3 linked regions of the Sus scrofa genome follow. The protein of the gene in region 2 binds, or shares a complex with, the protein of the main gene of each other region. Links are inferred from orthologs where the notes say so. Each region holds a gene or a part of one and is shown on either strand. Other genes may lie near its edges.

Region 1 (5,841 bases), on a different chromosome or scaffold from region 2:
CAAGAGACAGTCAGGGTGGGGCACGGGGCCAGCCCACACCCACCTTCATTTTGGATGATGCAGCGAACAATCCTCTCCACTGTGTCCTCATTCATGTCATCGTCCTCAGCTGAAGGATGAAGGCGGTTGGCAGGGAAGTGACAAATGAGTCAGCTTTGGGGGTATATTACCTGGTGGCTTCTGTGGCTTGTTACTCAAGACCTACCCCTTTGCCAATGTGCCATCAGGCTGTAGGTTAGCATTTCAAGGGCCAGGGCAGAAAAGATGGAGAAATCAATGCGAATCCAAGACTACCATCGTGGGCTGGTCCCACCCCGCGCTCTGCTTCTCTAGCCTTGCTTTTAGGGCCGTGGACTCAAGAAAATGTTACTAGGCCTCTTGAAAGTTTGGGTGGGATGTGGCCTGGGTTAAGAGGTGTGGGGAGAAGGGTGAGAGAGAAAAGGGACTGAGCCAGGGTCTAGGCTGTTCACTCACGGGGCTGCAACTGGGTGTCGTCAGGCTCCGAGCCCCTCGAGGTGCGGCAGCGGTAGCCCTTCTTCTTGAGCACGTGGCAGATCATGAAGCCTACGAGGCCCATGAGAAAGAAGACCAGCACAAGCAGGAAGAGCATGTACAGCCCATGTTGGGGCGGCTCCAGGTCAGGCTGTGGTTCCGACATGAGGCCCTGGGGGGCGAGCGCGGGCCAGGGCGCCTCCTGGGGCTAGGGGGCTGCAGCTAGGGGTTGGGGGGAGGGATAGGAATGCCATCTTCAGGATCCGTGACAGCCAAGCTTCTGCGGTCTGGCCCCACCCTCTGCCCAACCAGGGAGCTGTCCGGGCCAGGGGTGCTGGTCCAGGCCAGGGAGGGGTGCCAGATGGAGGCTGCGCAAACCCTCTTCCACTATCCTGGTCCCGCTTTCCCGACGCCCAGAGCGTTCCCCTTTCCATCTTGTCCTGCGCTTCCGTCCCTCCCAAGGACACTGCAGAGCGAGATGGGACGGAATTCTCAGGCGGCCGGCGCAGGGATCCCTGCCTGAGTCAGCGTCCACACCTCTGCGCCGGCCTGAGCCAGGCCTCCGCAGCTCACTCCCCTGACTGTACTATCGCACACACACCCCCTCCCGCCTTTCGGTTCTCCCCATCCTGACCACCTGGCCCACCCGGTACCGGTGATTTGGTTCTGGCTCCGGCTCCGGCTCGGGTTCCGGCTCCAGGGGCGTCCTAGTCCGGCTCGGGGCCCCCGACGCCCTCCCGGCGCTCATCCCTTGCTTCCTTCCCCTCCCCCCTTCGCCGCTTCAAGGGCTCCGGGCTGCGGCTGCAGATACCGGTGCCGCGGCAGGCGGGGGGAGGGAAGGATGGAGAGGGATGCGGGCTGGTCGGGACCGGCGACAGGCTCCGGACTATACCAGCGCTGGGAAGGGAATGAGATGGGGGGCGCCGCCGCAGCAGCCTTGGGTTCCCAAGCCTTCGACCGTCGCCCGCCCGGGACCAGGGGGCGGAGCACAGGTGTGCGGGGCGGAGAGCGAGAGCCTTGCGCGCTTGTGAGCGCAAGTGTGGTGCGCGCGTGACTGCGCTGCCCCCCTTCTCCTCCGGGGGGGTGTGCGGCGCCGAGTCTGGGTCCGGGTGAAGAGGACAGTCAGTCAAGCGAGGGTGCTCTCCACTGGTCAACCGGGCACGCCTGGCTTGGCTCCTGCCCTCGGATGCCCCGGCCGGCTTGGGTAGCCAAGAATCTTCCCAGCGGGCCGCGGGAAGCTGGCTTTCCGCATGGGAGAGGGACAGCACGGCCGGTTATCAGGAGCCTCCTAGAGAGGTGACACGGCTTGCACCCGGTTTGGGACAGGTGGCTGGACAGAATGGTTCGGCTTCCCGAGGATTTGACCCCCGCCCGGAAGAAAATGGCCTTCGCATCCTAGGACCAATGCGCGGTCCTCCGGCCAAGTCCAGACACTCAACACCCCATAACCTAGAACCGCCAAGCAGAGAGGGCGGAACTCCGCAGGGGGCGTGGCCTGGGCGTGGCCTACGGGAGGCGGGCTTGGGCCTCCGGGTTCCGCAGAGACTGGCTGCGTGCTTACGCAGCACGCACGACCGGGGGTGGGGCTGGCGGCCAGGCTGGCGGCGGAGGCGCGGGGCCTGGTCCCGCTGGCACCATGGCCAAGACTGTGGCCTATTTCTACGACCCCGACGTGGGCAACTTCCACTACGGTGAGGGAACAAGGTTGTATGCGAGGGGTTTCGGAACGCGGAGGTTTCCAGGGCGGGGCTACAGCTCCAGGGATGGGAACTGACCCACTCTCTTTTCCCACCCCCCAGGGGCTGGGCACCCTATGAAGCCCCATCGCTTGGCCTTGACCCATAGTCTGGTCCTGCACTACGGTCTTTATAAGAAGATGATCGTGAGTCTCGCGGCTTCTGCTGGGGATGGAGGGTGGGGGCGAGCTGCGGCCCTAGGGATAGGTAGGCTGGCTGCCCTGAACGCCCCAAGAGCGACCCACCTCCAGCGTGGGGAGGGCGGGATAGAAGGAACCAGGAGGACCCCCGTATGCAGAGTATTGGTGGGTGCATCCATGAGCTTAATGGGAGTTCCTTTTTCACTTTAGGTCGGCCAGCCTTTGACCTCAAGTAGACAGGTCATGGCCTAGAGTTGGGGTGGAGTGGGGCTGGTTTGAATACAGAAAGTGTTTCCCTCGCCAGCATCTTAGAGCAGTTTTGTGGCCTCAGCAAAGGGAAAGGGGCTGGATCACTGTATCTGAATATGAGATTTACCCCCACTGGCACCCCTTTTCCTCTGCCACACCTCTCTCCACCTCCAAGGGGCTAGAGGACTCTGCAGCCTGTGTGTAAGTGTGTATGTGTGTGGGGGGGACCGTAGGAGATGTCCTGGGTATTCTCTTTTCAACCTGGAATCCCCCCCCCCCAGTTCTACTAATCACTACCCATCCCTCCATCGCCAGGATATGCACATGCTCTCTGTCCCCAGCTTGGAAGTTATAGATGTGATATGTGATTATAACATGTCGCCTTGGCTCTTATGCCATTGCAAGGGGAATTAGTCAACAGTATGAATGGGTGCCCACCAGGCTGAGGCACTGACAAGTGATTTGGCCGTAGAGGAGGCCGAGGTGATGTTGGTGCGTGAATCTCAGACTCACTTGAAACTGTTTGCCAGTTTGTGCCCTTTTCTGGGAGAGAAAAACATTTTGTTTGGTTTCTAAAGAAGCGTGTGAGTCCCTCAAAAGATGGTAAATCTCTGGCTTAGCACCTGGGCATCTGTTTTTAGTTAGAGGGTTGTTATATGTTCCATATTATTTGACTCCAAAATTAAGAACTCAGAGGAGAGAGAGGACAGAATCAGAGCTCTGGGGGGATGACTATGAAGAGAATCAGGAGTAAGAGATCCAGGGATCAGGGCAGGTTGAACGGGGTTACGGTTCGAGAAGGTAGGAAAGGCTGGGCTGGAGGTTGGAGGGAAAAGGCGAGCCGCATGGTCTTTAGGGGGCTTGATCATTATAAACGACCGGGCTAATCAGTCTTTCTTCCTCATCGAACTTTGTCTCATAGAATAACAAGGATTCAGGGGCAAGGGGACTGCTGTGTGTGGTTTTGGATGGTCCCCAGGGCTGGGTTCGGGGTGGGGGTCTCAGCCCAACCAGTGGGACTGACCCTGCCCGGGTTCTCCTTGTGTTTCCATCCCGAGGTCTTCAAGCCGTACCAGGCCTCCCAGCATGACATGTGCCGCTTCCACTCTGAGGACTACATTGACTTCCTGCAGAGAGTCAGTCCCACCAACATGCAAGGCTTCACCAAGAGCCTGAATGCCTTCAACGTGGGCGATGACTGGTGAGGGGGGACTGGGACCTTTGGTGCCAGGCATTTCAGCGAGAATACTCGAGTGGGGCCTTGTGGCTGCAGTGGGAAGATGTGAACGCGCCAGGGGAGAGGATACTTGTCAGTGAATTGTCGTTTACTCATTTGTTTATTCAACAAATATTTATTGGTCATTCGCCCTGGGCCAGGCCCGGTGCTAAGTGCTGGGGATGCAGTGGTAAACAGCAACGGCAACACAGTTTCAGTATTGCATTTGTGCCGAGTCCTCCGAAGGAGAGGTACCCGACAGGCTATGAGGGTTTAAACACGGGAGAACCATCTAGCCTGGGCGTGGGCTGGAGGCTTCCTAGAAAAAGTCATAAAGGTTGAGCTGAGATCGGAAGGAAGCAGGAGGTAATTAAGTGAACGGTTGCTGGGAGGATGGAGGGTAAGGGGAGGAAGGTCGAGGGCAGTCGGGACAATGTGCGAAGGGCCTGGGGTATGACAGAGTGTGACTCATTTGAGGAACAGAAAAAAAGCCACCCGCAAAATCCGAAGAGCGATCTGAATTGAGGCTGAAGAGAGAGGCAGGGCCTGTAACAAATAAACGGCCTTGGAGTTCCTGCTGTGGTCCAGTGGGGTAAAGATCCAGCGTTGCTGCAGCAGTGGCACAGGTTGCAGCTGTGGCTTGGATTTGATCCCTGGCCCAGGAACTTCCACATGCTGCAGGTGCAGCCAAAGTAAATAAATAAATAAATGGCCCGACTGTGACTTGGGGTTTTTATGTCTAGAGTAGAGGGAGGTCATCAAAGTGCTTTAAGAAGCAGGAGCATGATTGGACAGGACCTTCTGTCATATGGTTTACGTTGGGCTTAGATCATACGAAGTAGACTCAGAGGTGGGCCCTGTGGGAAGAGAGCGGATAACGAAGAGAAGTCTTCCTCCTTGCTTATGTTCTCGCCTTCATCCACGAAAATACACTGACCACAATAGCTACCACTGACTCAGTCCATTTTTAAACTTATTAGGGAAAACATTGCTGAAAGTAGAAGGTACAGTGTCCCCCCACATACCCGTCACCCAGCCGTGACACTCACACCAAGTGCTAATCTTACGTCATCTATATCCTCTCACCTTAGATTCTTTTGAAGCAGATCCCAGATGTTACAGCCTTTTATCTATAAGTACACTCTTTTTCTTTCCTTTTGTTTTGAGGGCTGCTCCCTCGGCACATAGAGGTTCCCAGGCTGGGGGGTCAAATCGGAGCTACAGCTGCCGACCTATTACCACAACCACAGCAACGCAGGATCCAAGACGCATCTGCGACCTACACCACCGCTCATGGCAACACGGGATCCTTAACCCACTGAGCGAGGCCAGGGATCGAACCTGCAACCTCATGGTTACTAGTTGGGTTGTTACCACTGAGCCACAACGGGAACTCCAACTCTATATTTTCAAATGATACTCTTTTTAAAAATGCACACACTCCTGAAAAGTTAACAGTAAGTCCTTAGTATCATCATATATGCAATCAGTATTTAAATCTCTCCAATTGTCTGGTAACTTTTTTTTTTTCTTTTCTGCAGTTGATATATTTAAATTAGGATTTAAACAAGGTCCACATGTGTGTTTGATTGCTGTGTCTTAAGGCTTTTAACCTGTAATGTTTCCTTCTCTCCTTTGAATTTATTTCTGGAAGAAACCAGCCTGTTGATCGTGTGGTTTCCTGCACCAGCTGCGGTTGATGGAGCACCTGCTCTGCTCCGCCGAGGCTTACTGGCCCCTCCACCAAATACTCACGCCGACTCTTAGGTGTCATAGCCCTCATCCCGATGGGAGGCATAAGTACAGAAACCGAAACTTGAGGACATTTAAGTAACTTGGCCTGAGTCACATAACTGATCAGTGCATTCAGAGCCTTGTTGCTTGTTTTTATTTTTACGTTTTTGTGGGGTTTTTTTGCACTTTAGGGCTGCACCCGAGGCATGTGGAAGTTCCCAGGCTAGGGGTAGATTCAGAGCTACAGCTGCCGGCCTGGGCCACAGCCACAGCC
Region 2 (5,253 bases):
CACCCCTGCTCTCTATGGGCCTCAATCCTCCCTCTATAAGATGGGCATAATAGCTCCCACCATCTAAGGAAGATTCAGTGAGATTCATTTTCTAATGGGAAAGCCCATCTTTTGGAAAAACTTTGTCACCCTCTGCAGCATCGCTCTGTGCCTCCATTTCTCTGCCTCCATGAAGGGGAGCTTATTTTCTACCATGTAAGCCCCTTCCATCCTCAACAACCCTACTCTGGAAGGAAGCTGCAGCCCCTCCTACGAGGCCCTCACTGTGAAATATAAGCCTGTGACCCCATCCAACCCTGCCTTCTGGCCTTGAGTCTTTTCTCTTCCAGGACATCCAAAGGGCCCCTATAAACGAAGAGGTTTTCCCTGCCCTGTCTTGCTCCAGAGACAGCTCTGGCTCCCTAATGGCCTGAGGAAATAGCATAAACTCTTCCCCTTGGCATTCGAAGCTATACCCTAAGCCTTTGGGACCAGGATGGGGTAGCCTACTGTACTTTAAGGGATATTCTAGGCTGGGACGCCAATATGCTCTGACATCCAGCCTGGGAATCAGGCCTGTGTCCCATCCATTCACCCACTGCCTCAGGTCATTAGGATTGCAAGGATTATCAGAGGCCTGGGCTCACCTCCAGCCCCTGCTGAGGCTGGAGGACCTTAGCTAAGCCCCTGTCCCTCTGAGGGATCCCAGCTGCCTCTCCACTGAGTGACATGTAGATACAGAGAGTTCTCCTGGCCCTTCTGCTGAGCACTGCCTGTTCTGTAGCTTGGGGTTGTGGGGATACCGAGGTAACCCTGGCTAACACTGCCCTTGGGCTGTGTCTCCCCTGACAGATTAAAATCTGGGACATCCCCAAGCAGCTGATGACAAAGAACCTCACAGCCTGCAAGAAGGAGCTGGTTGGCCACGCCCGCAGAGTGGGCCTGGTGGAGTGGCACCCCACAGCCGCCAACATCCTCTTCAGCTCCGGCTATGACTACAAGGTAGGTCTGTATGTTAGCTTCCTGAGGCTGCCTTGACACAGGACCAAATCAAGTGGGTTAAGACAACAGAAATGTATTCTCAGGAGTTCCTGTAGTGGTGCAATGGAAACGAATCCAACTAGTATCCGTGAGGACTCAGGTTCGATCCTTGGCCTCGCTCAGAAGGTTAAGGATCTGGTGTTGCTGTGAGCTGTGGTGTAGGTCACAGATGAGGCTCGGATCCTACGTTGCTATGGCTGTAGTGTAGGCAGGCAGTTGCAGCTCCGATTAGACCCCTAGCCTGGGAATTTCCATAGGCCACCCATGCCCTAAAAAGAGCAAAACAGACAAACAAATGGATTCTCACACAGTTCTGGAGACCAGAAATCCAAAATCAGGGTGTTAGGAGGGTCATACTTTTTCCAAAGACTCTAGGGCAGAATCCTGTGCTTCTTCTAGCTTCTAGTGGTTCCAAGCATTCTTTGATTTGTAGCTGGACCACTCCAATCCGCTTCTGTCTTCTGCCTTCTCTGTGTATCTGCGTCCTCTCCTCTTCTTATAAGGACCTGAGTCACTGGATTTAGGGTCCACCCAAACCCAGTGTGACCTCATTGTAACTCATTACATCCTCAAAGACCCATTTCCAAATAATATGACATTCTGAGTTCCAGGTAGACATGAGTTTTGGGGGTCACTATTCAATCCATTGTCTTCCTGGAGAGAATGTGAAGCATCACACCTGGAGAAGCCTCCCCCTGCTCCATTGACTGCCAAGCTAACAAGCTGGAAGCCCTGTGGATGGGGAACCTGCCAGCATATGGAATATCTCAAGCTAGGGGTTGAATCAGAGCTGCAGCTCTTGGCCTACACCACAGCCACAGCAATGCAGGGATCAAGCTATGTCTGCAACATACATAAGAGCTCATGGCGACACTGGATCCTTAACCCACTGAGCGGGGGCCAGGGATCGAACCCGCATCTTCATGGATAAGGGTTGGGTTCGTTAACACTGAGCCACAACTGGAACTCCCAAGGAGACCTAGATTCTTTTTTTTTTTTTTTTTTTTTTTTGTCTTTTTGTCTTTTTGTTGTTGTTGTTGTTGTTGCTATTTCTTGGGCCACTCTCTGTAGGGCTTTACAGATGTAGCTCAGGGCCTCAGTGATGGATAAGAGGATGGGATAGGAGTGGCTGAGAGGACCTTTTCCGCTTTCTGATCAGACATGCTTTATTATCTGTTTATGTAGGGTATGCTATTGCCTATAGTTATACAGTGTATTCTGCACACAACTCCAGGGGGCACTATTTACATTATAGACTATGGGAATGGGTTTCCCCAGAGCTGTGCAGCACACAGCCTGTGCAGCTCACCACGGCAGCCCCTTTTACCTGTGTGGTGGAAATGGTTGCTAATGACTGAACCCTCCAGACGAGCCAGTCCCGTTGGGTCCTCCCAGCATGGATGTTTCACTGCTCCAAACAGATGGTGTTTTCTTTTCACGGCCAGATAGCCTGACTCCCAGCCTCCCCCTCCTGCCACATGGCAGCCTTAGCCGGCAGATCCATCCTCCCACCTGAGGCCTCTTGGCCAGACTGCCATCTGTGGCTTCCCTCCTGGGGATACCGCGTTTCACTGCAGCCTGGCTGGTGTGTGAGTCTGGGTGGGGTGGGGTGCCTGCTGTGCTCAGAGCCGGCTCGCTGCCATGTAGGTGATGGTCTGGAACCTGGATACAAAGGAGTCTGTAATCATGAGCCCCGTGAGGACCATTACCTGTCACCAAGACGTGATCCTCTCCATGTCCTTCAACACCAACGGCAGCCTGCTGGCCACTGCCTGTAAAGACCGAAAGATTCGGGTTCTCGACCCCCGAGCAGGGGCTGTGCTCCAGGTCAGTGCTGGGCTGGTGTCTGGCTCGGGGTGGGAGGAGCAAGGAATGGAGTGGGAACGGGGGAGGTTTCTGAGAACAGGGCAGTAATGCCGTCCGTGGTTCTGGTCAAGCCAGATGCGTGATCCCATCTGCTGGGAGGTGTAGACGATGCCATCCCCATTTTTCAGATGAGGCAACTGAAGCCAAAGAGGCTAAGTGACTTGCTGGCCCATATCAGAAGCTGGGACTTGAACCTGGTCTACCTCCAAAGCTTGTCACTATGCCTCGGCTCTGTCAGGAGGCATGGCATGGTGTCAAGAGACCTCAGGGCACCACTGTTTATCCACTATGAGACCTTAGACAAGCACGTACTGCTCTCTGAGCCTCTATTTTCTCATCTGCAGCAATGGACCACTAGTCCTTCCTCTGGGAGGATTAAATGAGATAAGCCAAGTGCCAGGGCCCACCCAGCCCCATGCCTTGCATATAGTGGGTACTCCGTCATAATCTTCTAGAAGAACATGGAGCTGGGCCAGAATTTGCTTCTGTTCTAGCTCAGAAAAAGAACTCTATAAACAAAAATAGTGGGAGAGATTCCCTGCGGATGGGAGAGACCCAAGAAGGCTTCCTGGAGGTGGTATCTCTAGCATGATTCTCCAGGCAGAGCTGGGACGGGAAAGGAAGGAATTCCAGGTGGAGAAGTAGCAGAAGCAAAGGCAGGGACTCCCTGGCTACACATGTCCACCCCTGCAGGAAGCCAGTTACAAGGGGCACCGGGCCAACAAAGTGCTGTTTCTGGGGAACCTGAAGAAGCTGCTGTCCACGGGCACATCCCGATGGAACAACCGGCAGATGGCCCTGTGGGATCAGGTGAGTCTTTTGAGCAACCCCACCAGCGCCCCCTCAGCTGCGCCCTGACGTCATTTGTTCATTCACGCGTGCACTGGCTGATGGGATTGATTGATGAAAACCAGGGAGACGCCGCTAACAGCCTGCTGGTGCCTGCCCAGACCTTGCGCCTCTTGTCATTCAAGGACGGGGAGGGGTCAGGACCCAGGGGAAGCCTCCGTGTGGGGGAGGGGAGCTGGCTGGGTCAGGGACTAGGATTGAGGGGATGGGAGGAGAGGGCCTTCTGAGAGGAGGGAACAGCTGGAGTGATGACTTGGAATGAAATAGGGAGGCGTGTGTGCCTGGTCAAGGCCCTTGGGGCGGTGGGGGCGGGGGGGGGGGGTTGAAGGAGGAGCCAGGCCAAGTAGGATTGTTTTGAAGGAGCCCTTGGCCAGAGTTGGACAAATCACTTCCCCTCTCTCTGAATCTCCTTCTACTATAGTAGATCTAAAGCAGGAGGGCGAGGGCTGGAGTGACATCATGTGTTTGAGAAGTGATTCATTAAAGGCAAAAGGCTGGAAAGAGAAAAGGTGGGGATCTTTCTCTCTCTTTCTCTCTCTCTCTCTCTCACACACACACACACACACACACACACACACATACACGCATGCACATGCACACACAGCCCTGTGGGAGGAAATCTTATCTCAGAGAACACCATCAAGGCCTCTGTGAGGGACCCACGGGCCTTCCTGGTCTCCCTTCCCTTGCAGGACGACCTCTCTGTGCCTCTCACGGAGGAGGACCTGGATGGCTCCTCAGGTGTGCTGTTTCCCTTCTATGACCCGGACACCAACATGCTCTACGTGGTGGGGAAGGTCAGTCTGGCACGGGATGGAGGTGGCTGCCTGGACCCCTGAGGCGGGAGGCAGAACTACCCCAAGCCTAGTCCCTTTGGTGACCAGACAGCAGCCTGGGACCCTTGGGGTGCAGGGCAGGGGCAGGGGCAGGGGCAGGCAAGAGTGGCTGGATACTCTCACCCCTGCTGAGTCCCCACCTTTCTGGCTCCACAGGAACACCTGGGGCCAGGACTTTGGGCAGCCACCCTGAGCTAGACCCTCCCCAGTTCTGGGTCCAGATGAGAAAGGACCAGTTGGTGTTTCTCAGCAGTGGCACCTTCCAATTTGGAGCAGAGTGGGTCTTCATTGAGTAGGACTCTCCTGTATTTGGCATCCCTGGCCCCCATCCACCAATGCCAGGAGCCATGCCCACCCACCTCTGCCCAGTCATTATGACAGTAACAACCAGAACTGCCCCAGGGGTAAGACCCCCTGGACAGTCTCAGGACACCCCACTTCTGACCTTTGGGTGTGATTCAGATGGGAGTAGGGCTCAGGCCTGTGCTCCCAGAGCCTCTGCCTTGGAGGCACATGGGTGGGCTTCGGGTCTTGGTTGAGAGGATTGAGTGTTAAAATTAGGAACCCCCCCTCCACTGCCTTAGTGGCAGTTCTTTGGTGTGCCCTTGTGTGAGGTGGCTTTGCCAACTCTTGACTCAGAGTGAATGCCAGGTTTCTACTACATGGCAATGGGGGCCAGTAG
Region 3 (5,823 bases), on a different chromosome or scaffold from region 2:
TTTGAGGAGCCTGGTGAGAACTGCGCGCCTCCCCGAGAGGAGCAGCCCCCTCCAGTGCTGCTTTCCCCCTCCCTCCAATATGCCGGGGCCGAGACCCTGGCATCCAAAGTGCAGTGAGTACCTGGGAGGGGCCCAGGGCTGCTCAGATCTGGTGTTACCCTCCTTCCCAGCCCATCTCCACCCAGCCCTCACACAGTCTTTGAACAAAGACCTCTTACTTGGTCCTATCACACAGAACAAAAAAGGGAACCCTAGCCACGTGGAACTTCTGCCCTCTCTTGCTCTGGAGTGTTTGTGCCTAATGAGTGTTTAGTAGTTAGTATCTTTGAAGGTGACATGTAAATACTATGGAAACAAAATGTAGAGTGGAGTGAGGTGGATCAGAAGCGTGGCAGGACCCGGCCTATGAAATAGGGTAGTGGCGGCAGACGTCATTAAGAAGGTGGGATTTGGAGTTCCCGTCGTGACTCAGTGGTTAATGAATCCGACTAGGAACCGTGAGGTTTCGGGTTCCATCCCTGGCCTTGCTCAGTGGGTTAAGGATCCGGCGTTGCCGTGAGCTGTGGTGTAGGTTGCAGATGTGGCTCGGATCCCACTTGCTGTGGCTCTGGCGTAGGCCGGTGGCTACAGCTCTAATTAGACCCCTAGCCTGGGAATCTCCTTATGCCATGGGAACGGGCCTAAAAAAAGAAGAAGGTGGGATTTGAGCAAAGGCCTGGAGAGGGGAGGGGAGGGAGCGAGGGGAGCGGGCATGGGAGGAAGACCCTTGGGAGGAAAGGGCGGAGCCAAGTCCCAGTAAGGAGGGGCTGATGCCTGGCAACAGCAAGGCCAGCTGCTCAGGCTCGCGGTCACCGTCAGGGCGGTGGTTGCAGCCAGCAAGAGCGAGGGGTACTGGGAGCAGAGGCCTCACTGTCCCGTTTCTGCTTCTTGCCTGCCAGATTCCGGGACCCCAAATCCCAGCGGACGCACCAGGCCCAGGTGGCGTTCCAGGTGTGCGTGCGCCCTGGCTCCTACACCCCCGGGCCCCCTTCTGCTGCCCTCAGAGAGCCTCCCGACCCTCACTTCAGCCCAGCTGAACTCGAGTGGGTGACCAAGGAGAAGGGGGCCACGCTCCTCTATGCCCTGCTGGTACGGGTGGAATGAGGGGTGACACCGCACTACGACAAGCACAGCAGGGCCTTGGGCCCGTGGACTCTGAGTGACGACTGCCTCCACCTCATTCCAGTGACGCGCGGCATGCACGGTGCTCAGCCTGGCAGATGCACAGGAGCATGTAGGCGGGCTCGCAGAGGAGCGCCCGGGGCCGGGACTGGACAGCCCCTCGAGGCGAGGGCGGCGAGGGGTCCGGCCGCCGGCCCTGGGGAACCCTCTCCATGCACTGATCTGGGGAGCGCGCCTCCCCGCCACTCCTCCCCCTACACTTAATTTATTTCCGTTTCTGTTCCTGGTTACTGTGAAGGCCAGAGGCGCCTCCCCGCGCCCCACACGAAGCTGCTTTTCCGGGCCGGGCGGGAGTGGGGAAGGCGGGCGCGGGTCGGGGCCTCTGTACAGTTGTTACTGACTCTGATTTCTAAGGAGCCAATAAACGCCGTCTCAGAGCAGCCGCCTTGGCCTCTCGCGCGCGCGCCTCTCGGTCCCCCCCGCCCCGACCCGGGAGGAGACCCGGCCCCGCCACGTCAGGGGCTCCGCCCTCGGGGTCGACGCCGGGCGGGGCGCAGCGGAGGCGTTTGGACGCCGCGGGCACCCGTCGCCCGCGCTTCCGCCTTCCCGCCCCGCCCCGCCGGCCCGCGAGCGCCGCGACAGCCTCGACTCCGGAAGGATTCGGCCCAGCGGCCGGATGTGACGCCACGGCCCAGGCGCTCGGGAGGCCGCGGAGAAAGCGACGAGAAGACGGGTAGGGAGGGGCCGGCGCCCGGGTAGCGGGCAGGGAGCGGGAGCGCCGAGGCCGAGACCCCCGCCCGCGCTCGCGGAGGAGCCGCGCTGTTAGGCCGGCCCGGCGGCAGGCACGTGACCGGGGCGGCGGGCGAGTGGCTTCCGCCCCGGCCTGGTCCGCTCCCTCTGAGCGCCCGCCTCCCCGCAGGCCCGGTCTGAGGTCTGGCAGCCAGTGACAGAGCCGGGCGTCCACGGCCCGAGCGCCCCCAGCAGCACCATGCCTGCGCTCCTGGAGCGCCCCAAGCTTTCCAACGCCATGGCCAGGGCGTTGCACCGGCACATCATGATGGAGCGGGAGCGCAAGCGGCAGGGTGAGCTGGGGCCAGAGCGGGAGGACGCACGGCCCGGGGCGCGCTGCTCTCCCGGGGCTGACCCCGACCTACGGGCAGACCCTGCGCGGCGGCCACAGCTAGAGGAGGGACCGATAGCCCCGACGTGGCGGGAGTCTGAGGCCAGATCTAAACTCCAGAACCGTGAGCTGGCAAGGACCTTGGAGAGCACCTAACAAACTTCCCTGTCCCCAGTGTCCTCTTGCAGTGGTGGGCAAACCTGTTTCTTTTAGAGGGAAAGAGTTCGTACCAAGTGTAGTGGGATACCAGTTTTTGCTGGCTTTCAATCGCTAACATTCTAATCTTTTAACCACTCTGCCACTTCCCCATTCTGCCTGACTCTGACTCTTCCAGAGGAAGAAGAGGTGGACAAGATGATGGAACAAAAGATGAAGGAAGAGCAGGAGAGAAGGAAAAAAAAGGAAATGGAAGAGAGAATGTCACTAGAGGAGACCAAGGAACAAGTAAGCAGTCCCTTGATCTCTCCCCAGCCCTTTCTGCCCTTGGCTCTCTTGCTTTCATCCCTCTCCTTCCTTCCCAGATCCTGAAGTTGCAGGAGAAGCTTTCGGCCCTCCAGGAAGAGAAGCACCAGCTTTTCCTGCAGCTCAAGAAAGTTTTACATGAGGAAGAAAAACGGAGGCGGAAGGAGCAGAGGTGAGATTGGGCAGCTAAAAATAAAATTGGGGCCCAAAGTCTAACTGGGATCAGGTAACAAGAGATCAAGTTTTTTGCGGGAGCGGAGAGGGGAAAAGGCTTGCCTTTGATCTGATGTGCCTGCCTCTTGTTCAGTGACCTGACCACTCTGACATCGGCAGCATACCAGCAAGGCCTGACTGTTCACACAGGAACTCACCTCCTCAGCATGCAGGGTGAGGATTAAAGAAACCACTTGTCAGATGGGCCTTCCTGGGGGTTGCAGCCTCTTCTTGCAGCATCACAAGCCCGTCTCCCTCTAGGGAGCCCCGGAGGACACAATCGGCCAGGCACCCTCATGGCAGCTGACAGAGCCAAACAGATGTTCGGCCCCCAAGTGCTTACAGTAAGAGCAGGAGGACTGGGTATCTAGGCTGTCATTTACTCCCGCTACTTCCAGCCGGCCTCGCATCCTTACCCAACCAGCATTCAAGTCATGAGTGTGTTGGGGAAATGGGGCTTTCAGTCACTCAAGTTTTTGCTTCATGGAGTTTACAGTGGTTCTCGTCCTCCCTCCTTAGAACCGACACTACGTGGGCTCAGCAGCTGCTTTCGCAGGGACCCCGGAGCATGGGCAGTTCCAAGGCAGCCCCGGCGGCGCCTATGGGACTGCTCAGCCCCCACCTCACTATGGACCCACCCAGCCTGCCTATAGTCCTAGTCAGCAGCTCAGAGGTGAGCCTTGGGCAAAGGGGAGGAGGGGCATTCCTCAAGGCTCTAAGGGAGGAGTGTTGTGAACAGGCTACCAGGAGGTCCTAATGGCTGTCTCCTGCCTTCCTCAGCACCTTCGGCATTTCCTGCAGTGCAGTACCTGTCTCAGCCACAGCCACAGCCCTATGCTGTGCACAGCCACTTTCAGCCCACCCAGACAGGTGATGGTAGACAGACACCACGCAGGGGCCCAGTTCCAGCGGTCCTCCTCCCTTCCTCTTCGCCTCCTTTCTCTACTCACCTCACACACCCTTCCTCCCCACCTAGGCTTCCTCCAGCCCGGTGGCGCCCTGTCCTTACAAAAGCAGATGGAACACGCTAACCAACAAACTGGCTTCTCTGACTCAGTGAGTAAAATCTTGGGAAGTCAGGGGAAGGGCTGCCCACACTAAGGGGAGCCCCAGGCTGCCTCAGCTGACTTTGTTCTCTGCAGTCCTCCCTACGCCCCATGCATCCCCAAGCTCTGCATCCAGCCCCTGGACTGCTTGCCTCACCCCAGCTCCCTGTGCAGATGCAACCAGCAGGAAAGGTAAGCCCACCAGAATGCCTACATCACCAAGTTGAAAAAAGGACTGGGTAGGACAGGTGGTCCCTGCCCCCCTTTTTCCCTCCTCCTCTGCCATGGCTGTCAGTCCCCTGCGGGAGTAGAAGGAAGGGGAAGGGCGCGCACTGACAAAGCCCTCCTCTCATTACTGCTGCCAGTCGGGCTTTGCAACCACCAGCCAGCCTGGCCCTCGGCTCCCCTTCATCCAGCACAGCCAGAACCCGCGATTCTACCACAAGTGACCATCAGAGTCTATCAACCTCGCTCCCAGCCCCTGCCCCCTACTGTGGGGGAGGATCCCTGGTGTGCCTCAGTCCCAGGCCAATAAAATCTACCTGCCACTGCCCCCGATGCTGCTACTGTCTGTGTTACCTCCCACTGGGCTGCCTGGGGTGGGGGTGGGGGTGGGAGTGGGCGGCAGGTCCGCAGGACGCAGGAATCACAGTGGGACAGCAGATTACCAATCACTTTCTCATTTCCACATTGACTTCCCGGTCAGCAAATACCATTTAATTCAAAGAAGCAGCTGAGTTGGGGGCTTCATATTAAACTTGTAGTTTTATTCAGGTTTGATTTTTAACAAATGTGTCGGGGAGAGAGCCCGCAGGAAAGGGTGAAGCCCATGGGGGGCAGGGCCCTCCCAGATGCCTGAGGAGGGGGCAGGTCCCCTCCCCTCTCCTCCTCTTCCCTCCCATCTAAAGGGACTTGGGGAGAGACATCAGCAGGGGAGGGGGCTGGTCCCCAGTCTGTTGGGGTGGTGCTTGGGATAAAGGGCTATGGGGGAGTAAGGGACCAGACCAGGGACGAGTGTGGGAAGGGCACAAGGACCATTTGCCAGAATCCACAGCTTTCTGATTCCAGGTTGAATTAAAAAAAAAAAAAAAAAAAAAAAAAGGAAGAAAGAAAAACTAAACCACAAGCAGCACCCACCCCCTCTCCCCCACCAGGGCTGTAGTGTGAGGGGAGAGGAGGAGGGCAGCTTCGCCAAGGCCATGGTTCGCTCACTCCTGGCCAAGGGAGCAGGGTGAAGGGCAGGGGCTCCCCGACAGATTGAGGGGGTAGGGAAACCAAAATAAAACGTCAAATAAGTCATGTAGGAGTCCAGCCAAGGGCCAAGCCAGAGCTGGGCCAGGCTGGGGGAAAGGGCCTCTGCAGGCTGAAGGATCACTGCTGCCACCACAGCCACCCTGAGTAGGAGAGAGAAACCAGGTGAGACAGGGCAAAACCTTCAAGGAGAAAAAGGGCAAGAGGGACAGGGCCATGCTGGGGGCAGAAAATAAGCCTTGAACCACCATGACCATGCTGAAAGCATCGCTTTGATGGAAATGACAAAGCGTGTGAAGGGGGCTTTGGGGCGGGGTCATGCTCACCTGGGAGCCAGTTATTTTGCCATGGCCTTGATTGCAACAGCTGCCTCCTCTGTCATGGCAGACAGCACCGTGATCTGAGGGAGCAGGGGGGACGGTCACAAGTCTGAGCTTGGGAAGCAGCACGGAGGAACAGAGCTGGGCACAAAACAAAGGGGGGCACCATACCAGGATCTCTTCTCCACAGTCGTACTTCTGCTCAATCTCCTTGCCGAGGTCTCCCTCAGGCAGACGAAGGTCCTCTCGC

What was found.
Region 1: CORO2A (region 2) and HDAC3 share a complex: the UniProt entries of both Homo sapiens proteins name them as parts of the N-Cor repressor complex. The link is inferred for Sus scrofa from reciprocal best matches to the Homo sapiens genes CORO2A and HDAC3.
Region 3: CORO2A (region 2) and GPS2 share a complex: the UniProt entries of both Homo sapiens proteins name them as parts of the N-Cor repressor complex. The link is inferred for Sus scrofa from reciprocal best matches to the Homo sapiens genes CORO2A and GPS2.

The regions. Positions count from the first base shown.
Region 1 is NC_010444.4:143,283,621-143,289,461, reverse strand, and holds the start of HDAC3 (histone deacetylase 3), read left to right. Parts: upstream 1-2,040; 5' UTR 2,041-2,128; coding exon 2,129-2,183; intron 2,184-2,291; coding exon 2,292-2,374; intron 2,375-3,675; coding exon 3,676-3,818; intron 3,819-5,841. Other genes in the region: RELL2 (RELT-like protein 2), read right to left, coding at 44-109, 475-658. UniProt on the Homo sapiens protein: Histone deacetylase that catalyzes the deacetylation of lysine residues on the N-terminal part of the core histones (H2A, H2B, H3 and H4), and some other non-histone substrates.
Region 2 is NC_010443.5:239,954,970-239,960,222, reverse strand, and holds part of CORO2A (coronin-2A), read left to right. Parts: intron 1-831; coding exon 832-981; intron 982-2,667; coding exon 2,668-2,847; intron 2,848-3,579; coding exon 3,580-3,696; intron 3,697-4,427; coding exon 4,428-4,532; intron 4,533-5,253.
Region 3 is NC_010454.4:52,663,604-52,669,426, reverse strand, and holds GPS2 (G protein pathway suppressor 2), read left to right. Parts: upstream 1-1,783; 5' UTR 1,784-1,894; exon of another isoform or gene 1,895-2,003; intron 2,004-2,080; 5' UTR 2,081-2,149; coding exon 2,150-2,243; intron 2,244-2,615; coding exon 2,616-2,725; intron 2,726-2,802; coding exon 2,803-2,915; intron 2,916-3,050; coding exon 3,051-3,130; intron 3,131-3,217; coding exon 3,218-3,300; intron 3,301-3,475; coding exon 3,476-3,629; intron 3,630-3,736; coding exon 3,737-3,826; intron 3,827-3,932; coding exon 3,933-4,012; intron 4,013-4,098; coding exon 4,099-4,194; intron 4,195-4,367; coding exon 4,368-4,451; 3' UTR 4,452-4,558; downstream 4,559-5,823. Other genes in the region: EIF5A (eukaryotic translation initiation factor 5A-1), read right to left, coding at 5,211-5,396, 5,580-5,823. UniProt on the Homo sapiens protein: Key regulator of inflammation, lipid metabolism and mitochondrion homeostasis that acts by inhibiting the activity of the ubiquitin-conjugating enzyme UBE2N/Ubc13, thereby inhibiting 'Lys-63'-linked ubiquitination.